Linked DNA regions of Ovis aries. The protein of the gene in region 1 purifies or fractionates together with the protein of each later gene. This does not show direct contact. Links are inferred from orthologs where the notes say so. Each region holds a gene or a part of one and is shown in the gene's direction. Other genes may lie near its edges. The genes, in order: INPP5K and GART.

The links.
Region 2: the proteins of INPP5K (region 1) and GART purify together in Homo sapiens (co-immunoprecipitation; 3 studies listed by BioGRID and IntAct, counting the BioPlex papers as one, with this or other methods). This does not show direct contact. The link is inferred for Ovis aries from reciprocal best matches to the Homo sapiens genes INPP5K and GART.

The regions. Positions count from the first base shown.
Region 1 is NC_056064.1:22,530,053-22,533,863, reverse strand, and holds part of INPP5K (inositol polyphosphate 5-phosphatase K), read left to right. Parts: coding exon 1-50; intron 51-3,327; coding exon 3,328-3,444; intron 3,445-3,786; coding exon 3,787-3,811. UniProt on the Homo sapiens protein: Inositol 5-phosphatase which acts on inositol 1,4,5-trisphosphate, inositol 1,3,4,5-tetrakisphosphate, phosphatidylinositol 4,5-bisphosphate and phosphatidylinositol 3,4,5-trisphosphate.
Region 2 is NC_056054.1:122,632,124-122,636,640, forward strand, and holds the start of GART (trifunctional purine biosynthetic protein adenosine-3), read left to right. Parts: upstream 1-1,586; 5' UTR 1,587-1,727; coding exon of another isoform or gene 1,728-1,790; coding exon 1,791-1,932; intron 1,933-2,034; exon of another isoform or gene 2,035-2,474; intron 2,475-2,809; exon of another isoform or gene 2,810-3,004; coding exon of another isoform or gene 3,005-3,014; intron 3,015-4,517. Other genes in the region: protein SON, read right to left, coding at 1,728-1,804. UniProt on the Homo sapiens protein: Trifunctional enzyme that catalyzes three distinct reactions as part of the 'de novo' inosine monophosphate biosynthetic pathway.

The DNA.
Region 1 (3,811 bases):
CATGGAGCAGTTACTTCATGGACGTGCTTTCCCCTCTGAGCTTCGTCAAGGTAACTTGCAAGTTCATGGGCAATTGGGAAATGTGTCTCACCTCTTATTACTAATCCCTAGTCCTTTGTCTCACAGTCCAGCTTTCATGCTATTACCCTTTTATTTAAAGACCCAAACCCCAGTTGCACCTGGTTCCCTGGGGCTCCTGCCTGCCTTGTGTCTTTCTGAAGTAGCTGGAGCTGAGCTGGGACCCCAGGGGCTAGTTTAACACCTCGATATTTTTCAGGTTGGGAGAATTCCTCGGGGAGGTGCAGCAGGGCTTAGTAACACCTGATTGCCTGCCCCACCCCCAGCCTCCAATCTCTACTCAGAGACCCAGCCTGAAATCTCAGAGTGCAATAATAATTGCCACTATCTATGGTGTGCTTATTGGTGGTGGTGTTTTGTTCAGTCACTCAGTCATGTTTAACTCTTTGTAACCCTGTGTCCATTGAGTCAGTGATACCATTAAACCATCTCATCTTCTGTTGCCCCATTCTGTTCCCACCTTCAGTCTTTCCCAACATCAGGGTCTTTTCCAGTGAGTCAGCTCTTGGCATCAGGTGGCCAAAGTACTGATGCTTCAGCTTCAGTATCAGTCCTTTCAATAAATATTCAGGGTTGGTTTCCTTTAGGATTGACTGGTTTGATCTCCTTGCTGTCCAAGGGACTCTCAAGAGTCTTTTCCAGAACCACAATTTGAAAGCATCAGCATTATAAACAAACTCTTTATATACATTATTCTGAAATATAGGTGTTATATGGATAAAACCAAGACTCAGAGATCATGACAGATTTGGATGCAGATCTTTCAAACTTCATAACCCGTGTCCTTAACTGCTGTACTTTATTATTGTACTGGTGATCTCTAAGGCTGACAGGTATCCTGTGACTCTTGCTGGTATCAGAGGTTGTCCTCTGATCTTAACAGACATGCACCTCAAATCCTCAGAGACCCAGAGGTTAGAAGAGACACATGTGGAGGAGAAGGGTTCTCAGTCTATAGAGCCAGTATTCTTTGGGAAATCTTTAGACCATAGGAGAATCTGCAGGAATGCTCTAGATTGCTGGATCTTACTTGTCTGCCCTGCACAGCTGAGAGATGAAACATAGTTCCACTAAAAATACCTCCAAAAAGCATTGCTTCTCAGAAATACCAGAATTCCTTTTTCCCTTTCCCTGGGTGACTGGATTGCTTCAGAATTCACACCATGACCCTAATCTGCCCAGAGGTGCTGAGACAAGAGCTGTGAGTCCTCTGGAGGAGGGCAGAGCCAGGAGGAGGTCACATCAGATGTGATCCTGCTGCTGAGGCTAAAAGATGCCAGTCCCCAAGCCCTTGGCTCCCTCCAGATTGAACTCGGGCCTCTTCCTGCAGACTTGGAGCTGGCCCCTCTCAGAGGGCAAAATCACTTGTCTCTCACCACCCACTCCCTTCCCAAGACTGGAGGCCTCCTTGTACCTCAGCTCACTGGCAAGGGATCGGTGGGATGGACTTGAGCCAAGGAAATTAGCTCATCCCGTGGCAGGGACACAGCTCACTCTCTCCATGGGCCTCCCGAGGTTGGGAGACCAGCCTGAGGGCCTGGCAGGCACCCACTGCAGATGCCCCTCCTTTGCATGGCTGAGAGGAGAGAGTAGAGGTGAAGGGCAAGCCCTGCCTGCAGCCTGTTCCTGAGGTCGGAAGTTGCTGGCCACAGGTTGAGAAGCCTGGGGCTGATCCCCTTTGCCAGCTCCTAGGCTCCCAGCCTCCCTCCTTCTAGTCCCTTCCTTAGCTCCTCCTCCTTCATTTCCTCCAACTAGAACTTCCCCTACAAGTCTCCTGCCTTTCCCCATAGCCCCACCCTTTCTCCCAATCTGAAGTTTTCCTGCCCCACCCCCACCTCCATCCTCCCTCCCCCACCCCCACTTCCCTGCTCTTTCAGAGTGGGCTCTAGCCTGTGGGGCTGGGCTCAGTGACCCAGACCTGCTCTGTGGGATCAGATTAATCTTGAAACTCTTCCCAAATCTTTTTCAGTTCCCTGGGAGTCGGTGCCCCCCACCCCCAGGAGCCAGCCCTTCCCCACTCCCATTGTCCTATTTGCTTGCGAAGGGAAGAGACCAAGACAGGGGTGGAAAGTGAAGTTGGGGACACATTGGTAGCAACCTGTGTCCAGCTCTGGGTGCTCACGCCTCCCTCCCTCGGTCTTGGGTTCAGGGTTGCCCCTCCCTTGACTCCTCCACCATCCCAGAGCTCCTGGCCTGTGGGATCAAGTTTCATAATTCCTGGAAGGCCCCAGTACATGCTCCCCACCCGGGGATTTCCTCCTTGGCCTCTGCACCTCATGCTCCGGAAATAGCTACTCGGGTGGTGGGTGTAGACAGCCTGAAGCTGTGAGAGGGTCACAGGCCCATTCCCACTCCACCTCCACGGCAGCTGAGCGCAGGCATTCTGGCAGTCCTGGGCCTTTGACGTTGCTATTCAAAGTGGTCCTGCTGATTCCTTAGTTTCCTTGTGCCTCAGTCCTTCTGCAGAACAGGGACCTTTCTTTCAAAAGTTGGCCAGAATTAGCTGTTTTCCCCCAACCTGCGAACACGTGTCCTCTGTGCTCACTCTCATCTCCTCTGCGTGGCGTTCACGGACACCAGCTGCCCATAATAATGTGTATTATTTTTCAGTAGCGTTTTCTTAATTGTTTTTCACTAAGCTATAATGTATGGAGAAATGAAATGTAGAGTCTGGTGGATTTTTATACATATATGTAGCCATGCTGCCACCCATCAAATCAAGATACAGAGTATTTCCCGCTCTCTCATGCTCATGTCCCTTCTCTGCATTTACTTTCAAGAATCCTTAAAGTAAAAATTAATATCAAGAGCTACCAGTTAATTCAGCATCTTTAAGATAGATTCCTGCTTTATCGATGAGAAAATAAATTTGTCCTGCATCAAATACTAACAGCCCAAGCTGGTTTCTGAATCTAGATCTGGCCCTTAGCCATTGTCCCATAAAGCATCTCTGAAGTTCTTTGAGCCCCTCCATGCATGGTACCCGTGGGAGCTGAGGAGGACACTAGGGAGAAGGGCACCTGGCCATACGTGGGCTGGGGTGGAAGAGTCAGTGCCCTCCTGATGGTGGGATGTCTCCACCCCCTGCGGAGCCCCCAGATTGCCTCATTTGGCAGCTGAGACTCCCATCAGCCCTGAGATGCCCTAGACCCCTAGGGCAGGACATCCGTGTGGCTCAGGCAGGGCTCTCAAGGGCGCCCAGCACAGGCCCTGGAGGGACATGAATGACTGTCACCCTTCTGCCCGCAGGTCTCCAGTGTCCGCATGCAAGGGCTCCTCTTACTGATCTTTGCCAAGTACCAGCATTTGCCCTTTATCCAGGTCCTGTCTACTAAATCCACCCCTACCGGCCTCTTTGGGTACTGGGTAAGGACTGAGCTGTTTTCTGAGTCAAGAGCTGGGGGCCTTCTCTCACTGGATGGGGGAGGGCTGACGGCATTAGAGCTGGGCAACTGAAAAAGGGATTGACTGAATTGAAAAGAGGGGGTGAAATGAATCTTGGCACTCTGTCCAGGCCAGTGCCCCGCATAGCTGCCTTCCCTCCTCTGGGGGGCCTAGTGTCCCTGGGACGGCAGGTAGGTGAGCTGGGCTGTGCGGAGGTGAGTGTCTGCTGACCCTGGGAGATCCCGCAGGAACTGAGACCATCTGCCCTCAGGCCCCGGATGGGAAAACAGAGGTGTGTCCCCCCACTTCCTGCCCACCTACCAGGGGAACAAAGGGGGTGTCAACATCT
Region 2 (4,517 bases), on another chromosome or scaffold:
AGAGTTTCTTCCTGGACTTTCTTTACATTTTTCCTAAGCACTTACACTGTGCTGACCTTACTAAAAAATCCACGGATTTAAAAATCCGAAAAGTAGGAATAAAAAAAAAAAAAAAACAGGCAATCTATAAGAAAGTAATCATCTTAAAGCTCTCCAGATGTTCATTCAACTACTGAAAAAGGGTGGAAATGTCAAGGCACCTAAATATCAATACAATCCTACAATAAACAGAATTCTATGGAGCCTGGAAAAATGTTCCAAACCATGATAAAAGTTCACAATATACAGGTTAAAAAAAAAAAAACACGCAAAACAAGATGACCACATTTCACAAAACACGTGCATCTGTATGCAAAGGAAAAAAAGTGAAAGAAGATAAAGATCAATAACCATGCGTTTTAAAATTCGTTTCTCTATTTTTTCTAAACCTAATACAACAATAAAACTTCTAATACAAAACCTAATTTTTAAAAGGTATAGAAATAAGACATTACAATTATCAAACACAACTACTGATTGCATGCAACTATTAAAAAGTTTCCAGGAAAATTCTATTCCCTTAGCTCAGGTCGTTTCTCACTATCCTAAAAATAACTAGCATATTACAAAATTTCAAAAAGCAACTAAATCAATGAACAGATATATTTCCCACTTGAAAAACAATGTATACGCAAAGAATTCCAGCAAATCTATATCATTACCCCATAACCGTATGTTAATTGGAGCATTCAGTTTACAACTGAGTTTCCGGCTATTTTTCAAATTCACCTCACGTTTGATTCTAGCTCTCAACTTTTTAAAACACAACTAACAATGCATTTCAACTCGGAACAAATGTTTACGTTATGCAAAATAAAAATACAAAAAGACAACCACTAAATAACATGACCCACGCGATTTTCCTTTCCGAGTAAGCAACTATTTCTTTGAAAGTCTCTTCCCATTCAAATTGTGTGGAACCAAGGGTAAACTAGTAGCGATGACAAAAACAGCGTGTTGGTCAAATAGGTCAATCGGGGCAGAGGGAGCAAGAATATTTAGACCAATACACGAACTCCACTTTTCGCTTGCTAAATTTAGTAATTACTAGTAATTCAAAGTCTCCTTCCATCCTCGCCTCGAATATTCTGTCAAAATAACTAACGTTAACTTTAACTGTTTTAATTTAAATTTCTAATCTACCAGACTATTTAAAATGCTACCTGGTGGAAGCCACAGGACATTAGGACCCAAATAATCTTCTCAAAGGATCCCGACCCCCAAGTGGTCCGAAGCTTGCAGTAATAAAGCGTATTTAAGATTACTCAAGAAACGGCCGTTAGACCCCTTTCCGGTCAAAGACACCGGCCGGCGAAATCCGCGGAGGCGGAGAGGGGGAGGGGAAGCGCGGCGGCAGAGCTGAGGAAGGAACTAGGCCCATCCCCGGTGGACAAGCAGGCCTACAGTAGCTAGACGGTAGGGGATACCCAAACAGGACAGAAGGCTGAGCATCTTAACTCGGTTCTAGAAGAGACAGCCTGGGATTATCTCGGAAAGGGCGAAGTTCCTCGCCGGGAAGGGAGGGAGCGGATGGGGGTGGGGGGGCCGGAAAATGGATCCCAGGCCCAGGCGGGGCTGTAGCCGGGCCTGAGACGAGCAACGACAGCGTCTCCGAAGAAAGATTCCATGGAAGGCCCCGTGGGGTCCCAGCGGTCCTTTGGGAGCAGAAGAGTCTGAGGAGAGCTTACCTTGAAAGCTCCTGTTGAATTTCCCGGAATTTACTGACCACGAAAGACCTAAAAATCTGCTCGATGTTGGTCGCCATGGCGTCCGCTCCGTTCTCTCAACTCCTCCTCACCAGTCCTCCAGGCTCCCAGCATGCCTCGGGAGGAGGCGCAGCGGCCAATTCCGTCTCTCGCCGTCCTGATTGGCTCCTGTGGGAGAGCCAGACCGGTACGCTCCGCCTCCGAACCTATCAGCGAGCACGGCCCCGCTCTCCTCCGCTGTTTCTGAGCGTTTGGGGTAGAGCTGCTGACGTTTGCGCCGCGCACGACTGTGTCCGCCATGTTAGTGACTGACGCAGGCGCCATTACAGGAGAAGTCTCTCTCTCGAGGTGGCTGTGTCGGCTTCAGTTGTCAGTCTTCAATAGCGTTTGGGGGAGGGGGGGCCGTTTAAGAGGCTTATTTTAGCCACTAACTACCCGAGATTAAATTCCGTGAGGAAAGGGAGCGGGGAGGGCAACAGGGTGCTCCAACATGTCTCCGCGTTTCGGCAGGGGAGATCCATTCGGGAAAGCACATTATCAGCGCCTGCCCACCGTACGAAGAATAACGTTTTCATCCCCCCATCTCTCTCCCGTGGCATCCTATAATCAGCTTTTTTTCCCCCCATTTTAGCATTGGGTCAGAGGTCACGAGCCAGCTGAGCTCAAACCCTGGTGCATTCTAATCTCGTCAGGAGCCAGGCGCATCACGAGACTTTTGCACAGTAGCCGGTCAGTTCTGATTCCTAAGCAACACACAAGTAGCTGAACATGGGTTTAGCATTTTGGCGCTCCCCACCGTCAGAGCTCAGGAGGTTCTGGAGGGGAGAGTAGATTTTACGTGGCACCTGGTACCACAGAATTAAACACTGTAAACGAGTAGGGTTTAAGAGATTAGCTCCGGAGGGGAGGTTCAGGCCGTGCCCGAGAGCGGGAGGGCGTCGTTCTTGATTACCTCGGGGTGGGGACCACGGGCCCCGCCAGCCAATAGGGAGGCGAACCCTCGAGGGCGGGGTGGGAGGGCCGAGCGCGCCGGATTCCGCGCGCCCAACTTCCGGCGCGCGTGGAGTACATTCAGATCCAGAGCGCTAGGCGAAGGTCTACGTGGGGACCCCGAGGTCACCCAGTATCGCCGGGTGAGTTTCCTCCGCCTCTCAGTAAAGTTGCTTTACGGTTTGGCTTGGCGGATTTACTCTCAGGCGTGAGATGAAACTGTGTGAACCGGTTTGGCTGCAGGAATTTTCATCTTATTCCCACGTGCCATGGGTGAAGGTTGGCCATATGCTTTTTCAGTTTTAACTGAGGTTTACAATAGCTCTGTCATTTCTCTGCTTTAAGTGTAAGGGCCCTTTTTGTACCTTTATGCTTTTTTTTTAATGCCATGCACCAGAATTGCATATTTTCTTGTTAATTCCGTCCTTTGTCTCTAGCAGGTTACTTAATCCCATTTTGCAGTTGGTTTCTGTGTTATGTTATTCACCACGTCTTTTGAAATGGCTTTTCTTGGCTCTCTAATTCTCTGTTATGTTATCCATTTAGACGACTGAGGCCCAAGAAGGTTAAGTCCCTCCAGGTTTCCCAGCTAGTAAGTCTTAACCCTATCCCAGGTCCTCTGACTGAAGGGCTCCTAGCCACTCCTGGATGTACATTCCCTCAGTCTGAGTCCTAAAACTATTTCAGAGATCTACGATAATCCCTTCACTGCTCCTGTAATTCACACTAATGTCTACTCTAGATTTAGAGTATATTTATTTCAAATATTTCAATATACATGGCAAGTCTGTGTTTTCCATTGACCATTTTCCTTTCTGAGATAACTTAGTAAATTTTTTTCTTCTTCATATTTTCAATTGTATCTGAAGCAAAATTGCTTCTGTTGGAATCTCACCCTCTGATCTATGTGACCTGCAGCAAGTTACTTAACCTAACTGAACCTCAAGTATGTTTATCAGCAAAATGGGCATAGTAATCCTATCTACCTCATAGAATTTTAAAATTAAAAGCATTTAGAGTAGCATCTGGCAAGAAGTGCTCAAGAAGTGTTTTATATTATCAACTTAGATTTTTCTTTAAATATGTATTCCTAGTATTTCATAAGTAACTGATTTCAGTTTTTCCTGTTATAAATTTGCATTCTACGTAATTAGATGTCTTCTGAAAACTAGTAAATGAATATGACAAATATGACAGATTATTCACTCTTTTGGCTTTCTAGAATTTCTATCCCTGAAGCATCAGTTTAGACAAAAGTAATCAAATGTAGCATGTTAGCATTCTTTTACTACTGAGTGTATGCAGTTGTACTAATTACTTATAAATAAATGCCATTTCAATTCTTACTATGCCTCATAAGGCACATTCTTAATTCCACCTTGTAAGATAGATGCATAGAAATCGAATTGCAGACAGTAAGAGCTTAACCAAGGTCACATGCTCACTTGAGCAGAGAGAGAGTTACCCATCCTGCTCAGGATCAGATGCCAGAACTGAGTGAGATGTGTTTACATTTGATTTTTGCCTTCTGCACCAGTTTCCTCTGGGAGGAGGGGCTGCTGCATCCCATGGGCTTAGCTGCCCTTTGGTACATGGGATCTTCATTCCCCAACCAGGAATGGAACACGCATCCCCTGCATTGGAAGGCAGATTCTTAACCACTGGACCACCAGGGAAGTCCCTTTGCCAGCATATTGCATTTTAAAAAAAAGATTTATTTACTTATTTGTATTTTTGGCTGCACTGGATCTTTTTTGCTTTGCTTTTGCTTTCTCTAGTTGC